Drosophila melanogaster: one gene and its partners. The protein of the gene in region 2 interacts with the protein of the main gene of each other region in a pairwise test. Each region holds a gene or a part of one and is shown on either strand. Other genes may lie near its edges.

What was found.
Region 1: the proteins of Ser8 (region 2) and CG1636 interact in a two-hybrid assay, tested with the Drosophila melanogaster proteins (one large-scale study listed by BioGRID).
Region 3: the proteins of Ser8 (region 2) and Cln7 interact in a two-hybrid assay, tested with the Drosophila melanogaster proteins (one large-scale study listed by BioGRID).

What each region holds. Positions count from the first base shown.
Region 1 is NC_004354.4:8,271,395-8,276,701, reverse strand, and holds CG1636 (uncharacterized protein), read right to left. Parts: upstream 3,291-5,307; 5' UTR 3,155-3,290; coding exon 2,948-3,154; exon of another isoform or gene 2,896-2,947; intron 2,423-2,895; coding exon 2,076-2,422; intron 1,994-2,075; coding exon 1,494-1,993; intron 1,435-1,493; coding exon 1,340-1,434; 3' UTR 501-1,339; downstream 1-500. Other genes in the region: CG15343 (uncharacterized protein), read left to right, coding at 3,495-4,009, 4,081-4,207; CG1632 (uncharacterized protein), read right to left, coding at 4,583-4,762.
Region 2 is NT_033778.4:13,432,094-13,436,029, reverse strand, and holds Ser8 (Ser8), read right to left. Parts: upstream 1,824-3,936; 5' UTR 1,819-1,823; coding exon 1,036-1,818; 3' UTR 985-1,035; downstream 1-984. Other genes in the region: CG30065 (uncharacterized protein), read right to left, coding at 2,582-2,629, 2,690-2,893.
Region 3 is NT_037436.4:7,341,384-7,346,789, forward strand, and holds Cln7 (Cln7), read right to left. Parts: upstream 3,801-5,406; 5' UTR 3,747-3,800; intron 3,002-3,746; exon of another isoform or gene 2,709-3,001; intron 2,563-2,708; 5' UTR 2,477-2,562; coding exon 2,285-2,476; intron 2,228-2,284; coding exon 1,721-2,227; intron 1,661-1,720; coding exon 1,509-1,660; intron 1,450-1,508; coding exon 853-1,449; intron 788-852; coding exon 595-787; 3' UTR 501-594; downstream 1-500. Other genes in the region: lark, read left to right, coding at 1-87; CG14834 (uncharacterized protein), read right to left, coding at 4,439-5,406.

The DNA.
Region 1 (5,307 bases), on a different chromosome or scaffold from region 2:
TTAGTTTACAGACCTAATACGTAAATATGTTGTACAATTAAACAGTTCTAAAATCGATTCCGATTATGAAATGAGCAAATGAGAATTCATGTTGAGAACGTACGATTGCAAGGATATCAAAAACAAAGTTTCGAAGGAAGAAACGCGAAACCTAAAACCAAATGAGAAACCGAAATTTAACTAGAGAATTCTTTTCAAATATCAAATAAAGCAAGAACATTAATAATATAATATAATATTTCAGCCACGATGGGAGAGCTAAGAAGTGAATAAAACAAACGAATGCAACCAACCCAGTAACAACAACAACAACACACACACACATTTCAATTGCGCTCGTTTAGCCCATATATAGTATATTTCAATTAAAAGAACGAAAAAAAAAACAACACATTACAATATTTCAATATGTCATTAAGTCACAGCGAATAAACAACAACAATAAGTTGAAGGCGACTTACAAATCTAAACGAGAGAGAAACTGCGATCGTGTGTGCGAGGGAGAGAGAGAGAGAGAGAGTTGGTATAGAGATATAGTAACTATATGTATATATATCATCAGCGACGATCTCCGTTGGCGCCAAAAATCGAGCGATACTAACTAAATTTGCTAAGGTCTTTCAGCCGCTTGGTTTATGCGTGCTGTCTAAATCGTGATTGGTAGATATTACATTTAATATTGATCTAGAGTTTTTATAAATAATTGTTAACTAGTGACAACAGTGCGTCAATTGTTGTATTGCTCGCATCGAAACGCACTGTGGTTTATTATCGAATAAGTACTATTAGAACAGTGCGTTTGGCAACAGTCGAATTCGACGTTTTAAAGATATATAACATTATTTTAAATACTTCTAGGAGATTAATTTTGTAAGCCTCACTTTTCGATTTTTGCGTATATAGCCTTTGAGATTATCTGCACGTTTGATTTATCGTTTATATTCATGTTTTAATTTTGACAACCTTTAGTTGTTATGTTCTTAACGCGTATATTTGAATCGTTGAGATATTTAAATAATTTTTGATTAAAAGCTACCAACTGATATTTTTAAAGTCTTTACAACAAAAACGTTGACAAATTTACAAATTTTCAAGTGTTAAATATTCCTATTTTTTGATTACGATCTGAATGTTGGCCAAAACGCACTGTTCGCGCTGATCGCGTTCTAGCTAACACGCATAAACCGAAATCAGCCTGAGTGAGAGAGAGAGAGAGAGCGCTAGTTTCAACTTTGTGAGTTATTAGCCTAAGCTGAACTTGTGTCTTTTTTGGTTTGGTTTAAGGAAATGTGGTTTTCTACTGTGTAAAAGTGTGCTGCGTCCGTGCGGTAGGACGCGATTAGGTATCAATGGCCTGGTCATCGTTGTCATCCTCCGGCTCATGGCCACGTCCCTCGCGAATTCGCTTCAATTTGCGCTTAAGCATCATGACGCCTGCCAGGGAAAATGATTGTTAATCAGATATTCAACATCGGTTAGTGCAGGAAGCTTACATTTTATGGCCTGAAAGGTTTTGGCCGAGGCCGAACTGGTTTCGGAGGGCAGCGAATTGGACGTGGTTCTAATGTGTGCCAGCTTTACCTCCAAATAGGCCTTCTTCAGTGTCTTGTAGTGCCGGAACTCACTGGTGTCCTTGACCAGGATGCACTTAGCCGCCGATCCCTCGCCCGAACAATCCGACGGCGCTGTGTGATATATCTGATGGTAGAAGTATTGCAGCACCGGCGAGTTCCAAATGGAGAGGCCGTACCACAACCAAATGGGCACATTCAGGGAAAGCTTAAAGTTCTTGGCGAACAGCGTGGGTATGAAGTACTTAAAGGGCAGTAGGTTGACAAACACATACGCCCACACCATGATGCGCAGACCGAGGAAAACCTGGTAGATGATCCGGTGTGAATTGGTGCTGGGCAGGACCAACAGGGCTAGCACCTCGGTGAGTATGCTGTACAGACCCACCGTTAGATTCAGGCCCACAAAGTAGTTTTCGTACCTAAAAATAAAGAGTATTTAATATTTTCGAGCTTAAATGGCTCCAGGCTAGAATGGTAGGGACCAAACGTGTCTCGACTTGCCTGTAAACATCGATGGCGACGAGGGACAGCAGGTAGAGTCCCTTGGAGCCCACCTCCAGGAAGTCAGCGTCCTTGAAGTCCAACCACGCCCCATGCAGGTAGAACGTGATAATGAAGATCGAGTAGAACTGAAACTTTTCCGCCTGATGAGATCGATAGAAGATCAGGTTCTCCGAGGAGTAGAAGAGCGAGTAGCGTCCTTGGTTCTTCATCAGCTGCGGCAGGATCATGAACTCGTTGTAGAAGTGCAGGAACAGGCAGCTGGCCGCATAGAAGGCGATGTTCCAAATGACGCGGGCGAACAGCCTCCGCTGAAAGTGCTTCATGCTCGACGACTTCAGAAAGAACTGAAAAGGGAGAGGAGCAATTAGTCGAGCATTGGTCTTGGGTCACTACAGATAATGGTTTATATGGCTTATGGTCAGCGCCGATGGGTCGACTGTCACCGGACTTATGCTATCACCAAAGCCAGGAGCGAAGTGCCAACCGAATGGGGAAGGAAGTACATCTGAATCCCTTAAACAATGACTGTCGGGAGTAAAATCAATACTATCTTCGCCTTATATTGATTTTACAAGAGACAACATATTTAAATAATAATCATTTACAGCTTAGTTGCAAGCCAAAACAATACAAAAAGTGCCGCATTTCGTTGTGTTTTGAAGCTTTTCAAAGGGTTGGTAACAGTATTTTTAGCGCCCCACTCGGTTGGCACCCCGTCCACCCCCGGAATGCGCGAATCCGGCACCGTGTCCGCTCTGTTTATTTATAAACGGCAAATTGGCCGAGCAACCCCTCAAAAGAAAAGTGCAATTGGAGGCGCCGCGTCGAGGGTGCTGCGATTGAAAGGATTTGCCACGTGCTGGACCCACCTGGAAGAGCCGCTGGAAGGCGTAGTAGCCGCAAGACAACGCCACGAATATCCAAAAGACCCCGTTGATCAGGTAATAGAGGTCTATGTCCCGCACCATCGAATCGAAGCGGTCGTTGGTGATCAGGTATTTCAGCGGCAGAAAGAAGTTGCTGATCTCCGCCCAGTAGTCGGGCGGACCGGCCTTCATGTCCAGAATGGAGGTCATGCTGCTCCTCGGCGGGATTTCCCGTTCTGCCGCCCCAGAATCGCGAGTTGGTGTTCCTCGTTTTCAGCCGAAAATTGGGAGAATTTGTTTCGTTTCTATGTATCGATAGTAACCGATAGCTTCGCAAATATAACGTGAAATCAACGGCTATCGATTATAGAACCGCTGCAAAGTACTGCGCTTCTGTTACAGTGCTGTTAGCGTTAACAGCGCGCAAAGTGCGCCAAATTTGAATGACAGTACATTACTTCAGTTATAAGGGGCTTTACCAATTAACATTAAATGTGTATTACATTTTCAAAATGTATAAGAATATTTTTCGCTTCAAGGACCCACCAATATGACCTCCTCTTTGGCCAAAATCGAGGACTTTCCCTCCGATCCCGTTGAATTTTTTAAGGAGATCCTTCAGGAAGCTGCCAAGGGACATCCCGATGGATTCATACAGGAAATGAACCTGGCCACCGTGGACGAGGAATTCGGTGTGCTCAACCGCACTGTTCTGTACCGCGGACTCACCCAGGATAACTGTGTGTTCTACATCACCCATCGGTACGTTCGCAACTTCAAGAACCTTCAGGCCAATCCCAAGGCCTGCATCACCTTCTATATGCCAGATGTTAAGGATAAGGCCGGAAATCAGAATGCCTGGCAGGTGAGATTGATTGGAGCCACCGCCGTGGAACTTGACCAAAGCGAAATGGATGCTTTGTGGGCGAAGGAGAATTTGGCTGCCCAAATCAGGGGTCACATCTGTCCCTGTGGAGAACCGATTAACTACGATGATCTCAAGGCAAAGCACGATCAGTTCCTTCTGGATCACAGAGGAAAATCCATCGAGAGACCAGCAAGCTAGTGAGTTTCGAAGTTTATATGTATATCTATATTTAGTAAATTAACATATACATAATTACAACTTCTTCTAGTACCGCTTGGAAATTCCAACCGCAGCGTTGGGACTTCCTGAAGGTGGGTCTCGACCAAATCGCAGACCGGGTGCAGTACCGCCTTCAGAAGGATGGGAAATGGAAATCCATGCACGTGTCCACCTAATTGTGGTATACCCCCAGTAAAGCCATTATCTTGATTTTGGACGATTTCATTTTATTCAACAATATCTTTCTACAAACAGCTAAACGTACAGACTAACAACTAAATTTGCTTCCTTTTCGACATGTTTAACATACAATTACAACATAGTTAATAAATATTACACAAAACAGCAAAAAAAAGGACGTTTAAAGAATACAGTTAGCATAGAGTTACATAGGTTCGAGTAACATTAGAGCAGGTTAGTTACATAGTACATATGCTTAATTGCCTTACTTGCTTTGCTACACACACACATAATACCCAGTGAGTTTCGGTTCCGTTTTCTACACAAATGCGCTGAGGGGCGTGCCGCCGCCCCCTGGTGAACTATCCCGACTATATCGCGCTGATCGTCTCGCGGATCCAGGCGGCATTCGAGGCGATCTTGTCGTACATCCTGGGCCGCTCCACGCCCGTGGGTCCGCACGCGATCCGCCAGGAGGAGACCCCAATGAGCGCCCACTGATTCGTTCCGGGAATCAGGCACTGGACAGGCGCTCCCGAATACTCCTCTTGCTGAAAATGAACAATATGAAATTCAAAATATAATAATAAAATATAATTTTGGTCCACTCTAAAAAATGATATATAGTTTAAATTTTGGTTGCCAACAGTTTCTGTCCACTTTCAAATTAAATATTTTAAAAATAATTTTGTAATATTATAATAGGATCCACTCTGTTTTTTCAATATTTCACCATTGAATTAAACTCGTGCCACCCCAATTGGCGATCGTGACGTCACACGCACGCGACATGCAGCAACGCGCTTGGCGTAGAGCAACAAAAACAAGCAGTCGAAGCAATAACAAAGTTGAATGAGTAATTTTTGCTTCTCTTTTTTACTCTCTCCAATTGCCATTCAATGTGAGCACGAGCGAACACACATAAGCAACCCCCGTTACCTGCGAAGGTTTACCTAGGATAGCAGAAACAACAACTATGAGTGCAGCTGCAGGCAGATAAAAGGAAAAAGGGAGATAGCAAGAAGAAGCAAGGGACACCGCAATAACAAAAAAAAACACATAAAACAGAGTGCCAACTGTTGGCTTGCATTCATTC
Region 2 (3,936 bases):
GTGGAGCGAGGGTGCGGTTTTTCAGTGGCAGTGCCTCCCGGAGATTCGTTTGCTAACAACTTCATTTGTTTATAGACCGTACACTTTCGATTGGCCTTTTCAATATGCGCAAACATATGCTGTGCTGATTTTCTAGATGTGCAGCGTGTGGAAGGTCAAGGGAGTTTTCGGTTCCACTTAACTACTTAAAGTATGGCGCGCTTTTGTCAGTTGATATACAATATATTGTTATGAAAAATTATAGCCTGTTTTTAGTATAATTAATAATTTACAACAGTTTTTTTTTTTTTGTACATTGTGCACCAACTTTTCCGCTGATATACAATTAAAAAAGCTTTAAAAGAGCAATTACAAAAAGTAAACAGAATGTTTGCACGTCATTGACAGGCACTTTTGCATTCAAAATTTATTGTTAGCCATAAATTGGTTATTTAAATGACGACAATCAAAAGTTGTAAAACGCTTAAACCGATTAGAAACAATAGAGATAGCAAATTTTAAGTGCACATGCAGTGCATAAACGGGAACTCAAAGGAATTTCAAACTAAACTATCAGTGAGGAAGTTAAACCATTAGCAAAAAAAAAATGTTCCAGCAAATGAACTAAAAAAATTTGAATATTTAAATAAATGGCATACATAACTTTAATTTTTAGTAATACAAAAGCGTGTAAATGGAATAGACAGAGATTTTACATGTCATTCGCAGCCATGTCACAGATATGTCACCCGACTTTAGTATGCAAACGCTGTAACTGGCTTACCATGGGCTTGCCGCCCCTGTGCCCCGCCAGAATTGAAGGCCCCACCCGGCAGCCAACCCCTGTGGACTGACCCAGATTGCATGAGCCAAACGAGCGGCGTGGCCCACAGGAAGGGCACGTCCTGCTGCCGCATGTATGGCTCTGGGGACTGGATTCAGAAGTCACTGCTGTTGAGCAGTAAATGAGCGGAAGCAGCAGTTGAAATAAAAGCCCTGCCAGCTGCAGTTTAACTATACGTACTATGAGTGCGATTTTATTGTGCTTAACTAAAGCTAGACAGTCTTCTGGGCCTGAAGGACCCAATCTCTCAGTTCGGCAATGTTGGCATACACGCCGGGATAATTGGCGACGGCGCAATCTCGTCCCCAGGAGACGACGCCCACCAGTTGGCCTCCGGATACCAGAGGTCCACCAGAATCACCCTGGCATGCATCCTTGTTCGTCGCCGCTGCACAGATCATGGTTGCTTTGATGAAGGAACCATATCCGTAAGTGGAACTGCCACACTGCGAACGGCCCACAATTCTCGTGTCCACAAAGAGCAGCGTCGCTGACGAGGGGCCATCGGTGGAGGTCTTGCCCCAGCCTGAGATGCTAGCTGCTGATCCGTGAGCCGGCGTCGCACTGGCCATCGTAATGGCCTTGATGGTCGAGCCAAAGGTCAGCTTAGTCTTCAGACGCACCACTCCAATGTCGTTAATCTTGCTGTTGGAGTTGTATGCCTCATGTGCCTTGATGGCAGCCACCTCGACGAGAACGCCACCATAGGTTCGCTTATTGGAGCCAGCCCTTATCCGGAGATTGGAGACCGTGGTCGGAGTGTCCAGGCAATGGGCGGCGGTCACGATGATGTTGTTGCTGATGATGGATCCACCGCAGAAATGACTTCCGGAACGCTGCAGAGAAACCTGCCAGGGACGATCCTCAATGGAAGAGGCTGTGCCTCCAACAATCCGGCCACCTAGCGATGATGTTTGTGGTTCCAGGCCAATGGGAATGACTGCGCCATTCGTGAGGGCCAGCAGGGCTAAGAAAGTTGCTATTAGTAGGGACATGTTTGCGGTTCAACCTTGGATGGCTAACTAACTGCGATGGGTGGCCTTTTATAGCCACAGATTGGGCATTGCCCGCGTGCGGATAAGGTTGTCAAATGACACGGCCATATTTCATTCGTATCAATCGCTGATTACCCAAAAGGCCCATCATCCGGCAATTGTCTCCAGGTGCTGGCAGGAGAATATGGGTGCTTTTAATTACCGACTGGTTATTGATTAGTTAGCCGTGAGATAGGTGGGATAGGTCAGTTGCTGGGCTTAGACTTATCGTAGGAATGCTTGTTTTGACGTCTTAATCTGGCTATAATCCATTCTCTGTTCTCTCCAGCTATTGACTGGGCCTTACCAATTGTAAATATTTCAAATACAGATTACTTCTTCCGTTCGGTGCGCAAAAAGCGTTGTAAATTGCATGACCACTTACGTGCTTTGAATGAGCATGAAGGCCAAAATAGACGTAACCACTCTGCACTAGCTTATGCTTTTAATATACGAACAAAAAATATAGAAATGTAGGTACAAATCATGAATAACTCATTGGTCATTTGCTCGACTTCGTTCCCCATCGCAGGACACGGAAAATGCATTAAAAACAACGGACAAGTCCACATCCGCTTCGCTGGCAGGACTCGGGCTCTCGTTTATTTGCCAATTAGGTTAAAAGTGTCACGTTCAGTTTAACAACTTCCGCCAGCGTTTCGTTCCTGTTCAGTATTGGTTCTTCAATATGGGCAATGTGGGTGGGCCGGAGTCATAAATTGGCCTAGTGCTTTGTAAAGCAAGTTTTCGACTCGGTCGGCATGCTCTGGCGCTGAAAAGCCCACAGACCGTATCAATGGGGAATTCATGTCTGTGGTGTTTCAGTACCTACCAAGTCGTTGTCGGACATAAGGCGCCTCTTCCAGCTGGTCAAAGTTTCCGAGTAGGTATAATACTCCACCATCCGGTTGAAGGTTACATGCTTCTTTGTCTTCGAGGACTCCTTACCGATGCCATCACCTGCTCCGTCCAATTCGATATCCTTCATGATTAGAATGGGCTTGAGCAACGAGCTCGATGGCTGCTCTTCCGACATGGCTTATATTGATATAAAAATATACAACTTTTTTAACCTGACTGAAATCTGGATTCAGGGATTGATAAGAACTAAATTTGACACTATATGTTTCAATGCTACTACGATAGTTTTCGTTTTTCGTTTTTCGTTTTCCTGCTAAAAATATGTCACGAATTTATATATTAATTTAATACAATGGCAAATGTATTTGTTACCATTTTATTTATTGGTCACGTATTTATATAGGTGAACCCAAAAGAGAGATCTTTCAAAAGTATACGCAAATATATATTTGATTATTTATTAATTTTGCATTGTTTGTCAAATCATTGCTAATTTCTGTGGGCTTAAAAAAATATTTGTCAGAAGTGGGATTCGAACCCACGCCCTCAAAGAGGACCAGAACGCTCATTCACAAACACTTTCGTTCAGAAAGTAAGATTTTCAATCTTGAGTCTGGCGCCTTAGACCGCTCGGCCATCCTGACACTTGATTCCGCAAACGCCCAAAATCTAGTGTCATAAAAGTATATACAAAATGGGGCGTTGAACCAATAAATTAGGATGTTCTCTGTTTGCCATTATATTGTCTAAAAGCATTTTCAACTCGTTGCGAAGATAAGATCGTTCAATAAACCGTTTAGCTTGATTGCCAAAGCAAATTAAGATACCTCACACGCGGAGAAGTTGGTCGGCTAAAGGGACGGGAAATTCAATCATCCTTGATGGTAAATTGAATTGACATTTCACTCAGCCGCCTTGCGAGAAATAGACCACGTTAGATCATCCTTGTCGGCTTTATGTGACATCATCGCAGGATACTCACTGTCCTAGCATGCACGGCATGAGATAACATTAGCAGCCGTCCATAATTGGGCTTCGCTTATCTAGGTTTGTACAAAAAGCTTGCGGGACACGTTCTCATCAAATCTATACTAACTTTTTAATTTTCAAAGTGCATTAGAAATGTAATAAAAAAAAAATTATTCTGGCCCATGAGGGGATCGAACCCGCGACCTTCGCGTTATTAGCACGACGCTCTAACCAACTGAGCTAATGGGC
Region 3 (5,406 bases), on a different chromosome or scaffold from region 2:
AGTCGCGATGCATTCGACGAACGCATGATTTCGTCGCGCGGAATGCGCGGTCCATCGCCGCCGGGTCGCAGATATGCGCCCTACTGAGATGAGTTTTACTATCACGGCAGCAGCTGAGTAGCGGTTGCACTACCCATGCCCCTGCCAATGGGTCACACATTCTACCACACGACCAGCAATCGAAGAACGGCGCCTGTGGACTGCTGGCTGCTCTGCTGGTCGCCAGCGGCGGCCTACTACCATCACCACCAAGCACACCAGCAGCACATGCTGATGCCGACGACAATTTCACAACTGTGGCTGCCGCCTTGGTAAACCACATACATGTTACTAAACCCAAACTAACCATTACTCGTACACTTAAACAAGAAGATGGAAATACGTGTTTAAGCATCCTCCCTATATGCAAAACACGCCAAAAAAAAAAAAGAACTAGACAACGACGTGCAACCTCTACACATTCAACCGTAGTACCAATAAACGCATAATCAGTCGAAACTGTGCAAAAATAAACACTGTATTTTAAAGCTAGTTTAAGGGGCAGTATTGCAACGATGTGTCTTAGATCTACGGATGCTCCATAGCCAGCCGTCGTTACGCATGTGAAATCGAGTGCTGGCTGCCGTGCTTGCCCAAAATGGGCTGATCAGGAGACAGATCTTCCGGTGGGCTACCATTGTGCGTGTCCGGTGAGTGGTCGTCCAGCAGCTTGCTACCATTGTGCTTGTTCAGTTCTTTCAGCTCGACAGGTGTGGTCTTTTCGAATGTTGGCGGGATTAGTAATCGACTGAAAAGATAACATGTTATTTATTGTGGGGAACCGCCTTAAAAACGAATAGTATTTCAGCTTACTTGCTGCACTGTAGCCAAAACATGGAGACCAGCATCATGGCCGAAGTAACGCCGAAGGTCCAGAACGTACCTAGGCGCGTGTAGATGGATCCCACGAAGACTGGACCAAGGACGCGGGACAGACAACCCGAACCGGTCATCCAGCCCATCCAGACGCCCTGCGGCCGAGGTCCCAGAACTTTGGAGAATATGGTCTGGATGAGAGTCACCCCAATGGGATATCCTATCGATGTGAAGGCAAATCCAATGATGAACTGCGTTAAGGTCAAGGCCGGCAGTTCGCCGCACCATTTCTGCGTTGTGGGGCAGCCCAAGAAGATGGGATCGCTTTCGCTTAGGTTCCAGCTGGCATTGAATGGCTGCGCCAACTTTGGCGGATCCGGACCCCAAGGCACGAAGAGCACGCGACCGAGAAACATCAGCGAGAATCCGCCCCAGATGAGCACATAACGCTCGGCTATAATCTTGCACATGGGCTCAATCAAAACGAACGTGACCAGGGAGACAATAGCTGCGGTGGTCATCATGATGCCCATGTACCATAGGGCCTCGTCGTTGGACCAAGCGAACATATCCATTGTCAGGGATGTGCCCAGACTGCAAGGCGAGGAAGCAATAGTTTAAAAAAAAAAAAACCCACTCTGAGGATTACTCACGTCTCCAACAGCACAAAGTTGAATACCAGAACAAAGAAGGCGACGATCAAAGTCCATGCGGATAAATAGCTGGGCTTGATGCCTTTCCAAGTCTCCTTCTCGGATGTGCCGCCCTGCATCACCATCACCTCGCGAGCTGCAATTTTGTGCTCCTGAAGGAGTGTTCAAATTTAATGACACTTTAGAGCGAACCAAGTAACCTGGCCACTCACCTCAAACACTCCGGGCAGGAACATCATGAAGTTTCCAATGCTCATCAGCACATTGATCCATCCGGATGCCGTGTACATGTTGAAGTGCATCTTGCCCCACAGCCAGACGTGTCCCTGATCTCCCAGCGGTGTGACTGCCGCCTGCAGAGTTGGACCAATGATGAATCCAAGGACCTGTGCCAGCGAAACCATTGCAACGGCATGTGTGCGTTCGCTGATTCGTGTCGCAGCGGACAAATAGGAGCGGCACAGGGCAATATTCGCCGAGCTGACACCGATGAGGAACCGCGAGGAGAGCATCCAGTACTTCACATTGTCCGGACGCAGTTCCAGCGAGGAGTATATGCCACTGGCCAGCGTGAATAGAGACAGCGATAGCAGCAGTGGCAGACGAATCTTGCCCAGCTTGTTGCCCCACCACCCAAAGATCGGACTGAAGATCATTTGTCCCAGCGGATTGGCGGCCACAATCAGTCCCATAAACTCCTTGCCCGCATCGGGATCTAGCTGAAGAGAGATGAGATTGAAAAGCAGCTGGATAGCGTGACCAAAATGGGTACGCACCTTGTTGAGGTAGGGCCAAATGCCTGTGAGTATGATGCTGAAGCCAAGCGCCATCAGAAACATCGTAAAGTAGATGATGCGGACGGAGCGCCAGCGCTGCTTGTACTCCTCCAGCGTCTCCAGGCCATCGTCCACATCCTCCGGCAGTCTTTTGGTTTCAAAGCGAGCGGAAACTCGGCGGGCAAACTCCATAATTGGTTTGCTTGGCTGTGATGTTTGATGGGTTGGTTGGCTGCGATGGATGTGTGTTTGCTGGATTTCACCGCCACTGAGTCATTCTGTAAATGGATTCGAATGAGTTTTTTTTTTCTTTATGGAGCTTTTTGTGAATCGATGTGTCAGTTGTTAGACACGCTTTTAAAGTCTTGTAACTATTAATGATTCAGAGTAGAGTATGTCTCTAATCGGCGGTGCCTTCAATTACTTGAATATGGATGGAGTGGATTATCTGCCAGACGTCGCGTGATTATCCTCCTCCGAAAAAACCACAGATATGGAAAACAGTTTGCTGAACTTATCACACAAATTGCGGAAGATAAAGGCAATCGGTGCCGAAATAAAGCTGTTTGTAGTTATTCGTTGCCATGTGCGGGTGTCTGTATGTCGTTTTTCTTTAGTAAGAGCCACTATCACTGTGAGTATGCCATTGTTTTTGTTTATATGGCATGATAAGGTTCGTACAGAACGTCAGTTTATTACATGATTTCATTTATCAGAGCAAAAGAAATTGATTCGCCCCAGTACAGGGTACGAAATAAAAACATTTTGTTATAACTTTAGTTTTCGATAGTGCAACAAGTGCAGCGATTAGCCATATCAATCAGACTTGTCCACTTCCTACATCAATCAAATCATCACTGGTTGAAGATCACTCCGTCGCAAATCAATTTCTAATTGATTATACCAATTGCCAATTGATGCAGTTGGTTTTTTTTTTTTCTTTTTTTTTTTAGTTGAGCGCCAGATTCTCGTTCTCGAAGTACCCAAACACACACACACACATCTTTCAGATACAAGATACTAGATATGAGATAGCGACCGTTGATCTTTGGCTGCCTATTGTTTTTTTCGTTAAGCTACTTTGCCTTTGCACTCCTTGCTTTGATTTTCAAATTACTTAGCTTACTAAGTTGTATTTTGTTTTTCGTCACACACTGAAGCAAAACTATGTAAATTAAATGGAAACATGCACTCTTTGTTTTTTTTTAAATTACTCTTTCTTTGTCTCACTCTCGCTCTCCCGCTTCCTCTCACTCGATTTTTGTAATATTTAACCAAACGCAAAGAAAGCGCTTTTCTCCCTCTGCCAATGGCTATATCTGTATCTGTATCTGTATCTGCGTGCATGTATCTTTCTGTGCATCTAGAACTCAAGGGCACCCCCCTACCGCGCGCATCCTATTTGTGGGGCTTCCAGCGGGTAATGCACCTTTTACCAATCGGGCTATGTCTTTTTAACTACCTGTTGCAGCGGAACAGCGACGACCACTGGAGATGAACGAACGCGACGGACTGAACTGAACTGACGCGGCAGCGCCTGTTGCCAACAAATCGGACGACGCGTCGCCACAGAGCGTGATGGAGCTGCCCGAAGAGAGAGAGGAGCCAACGGCAGATAGCACCCGCGCCCGAAAGTATGCTACTTAGATACTCCGAAATCTATGGCATCTGTAAGATAGATCGCAAGGGTTTTCTATTCAGGCAAAATATTCCTAAGCATAGTATAGTAACTTGTTATCAATCCACAATCCATGTAACACCAATACTCCTTCTTCAAATTATCATTATTATACTAGATCATCAGTAGAATAGATGTATCTTTGAGATTCGATTCGAGATCCAATTGAAATAATAGGGAAACTGAAGAATGGAGTTCTATAGAAACCTGTCTAACCTACCAAACTTCTACCTGCGTGTGTGAATACTATAATGACTCATTGGAAAACGATCTTTAAGAACGCCTTCATATTGTTACAGGTACATAAAGATCTTACTACTTCAGATACTTTAATTTCGAACGCTTCTATCTTCGCTGCTACTGCAGAACACTATAATGTGCAAATTTATATTTATTTTTGAGAGACCAAAATGCCTTATAAATATACAACAAATGATTATAATAATAAAAGTGAAAGTAAATTGGGTATGTTGGGTCTACAGATTTCCCTGTGCCTGCTGCAAACGCATCAGTCGCCGCTGCCTCAGCCAGGGCAGCAGGAGTCCACCTGGACGCTGGCCGGGAAGTGGAGCTCGTGGGGCAAGGTCCATTGGGGCAGCCAGGGTGACGGCTTCGGGGATGATCTCATTGCGCCGGAAACCACGGAAGGTGGCGCTAGGCCTGCGTGGCACACGATCCTCAGGCTGGCGATCCTTTTTCTGCGGCACATCCTCGTTTCTAATATTCAGGCTAAAGACATCCCCAGTGCGTGGATCGGAGGACAGATGACTGACCGTATCTTGAAGCACCTTGGGTATCCGCTCCACCACCTGCAAGGCATCGCGGAGTGGCCGAATCTCTCGCTCCGGTTGCTTGCGCGACTGCTCCTTGGACGCCTTGCTCTTGGCGCTCTTTCGGAACAAAGGACTCTTCTTGTTCTTCCGCGAGAGTGCATCCTTCTTAAGTGGAGCGGGGCGAGTCAGTCGCGAAGCTGACTGCTCCAGGAACCATGGTTCCCGACGAGCCGGCTCCTCCAGCTCAGCCTGACGCTTGAATGCCGATGGCTTGGCTGATGCACGCTGCTGCTTCTGGGCTCTAGTGCCCAGTGGCGAGGGACGCACCAAGGAACTGGCAAAGTCATTGAACCACTCCAGGTGATCGACGGACCTCTTGTGCCTTATCTGCTCCGAAGCCTTGGATGGCGTTTCTAAGCCATTGGCCGTACGTTGAATGACCAACTTTGTGGAGGGCTTGTAGATGGTTATGTTTGAGCGACGATTTCGAGGCGACTGCATTGAAGTGCTGGCGCTCCTGGCCACCAGATCTCGCTTCTGCTCGAACTGCTGTGCGTTGCGCACAAAGCGATTGCTGCTCGGTCCCTGGATGACGATTTCGAATGGTAGATTCAACGTCTTGGCATTCATCTGCATGGTGCGAATGCACTCAGTATCGGATTGGTCGTCAT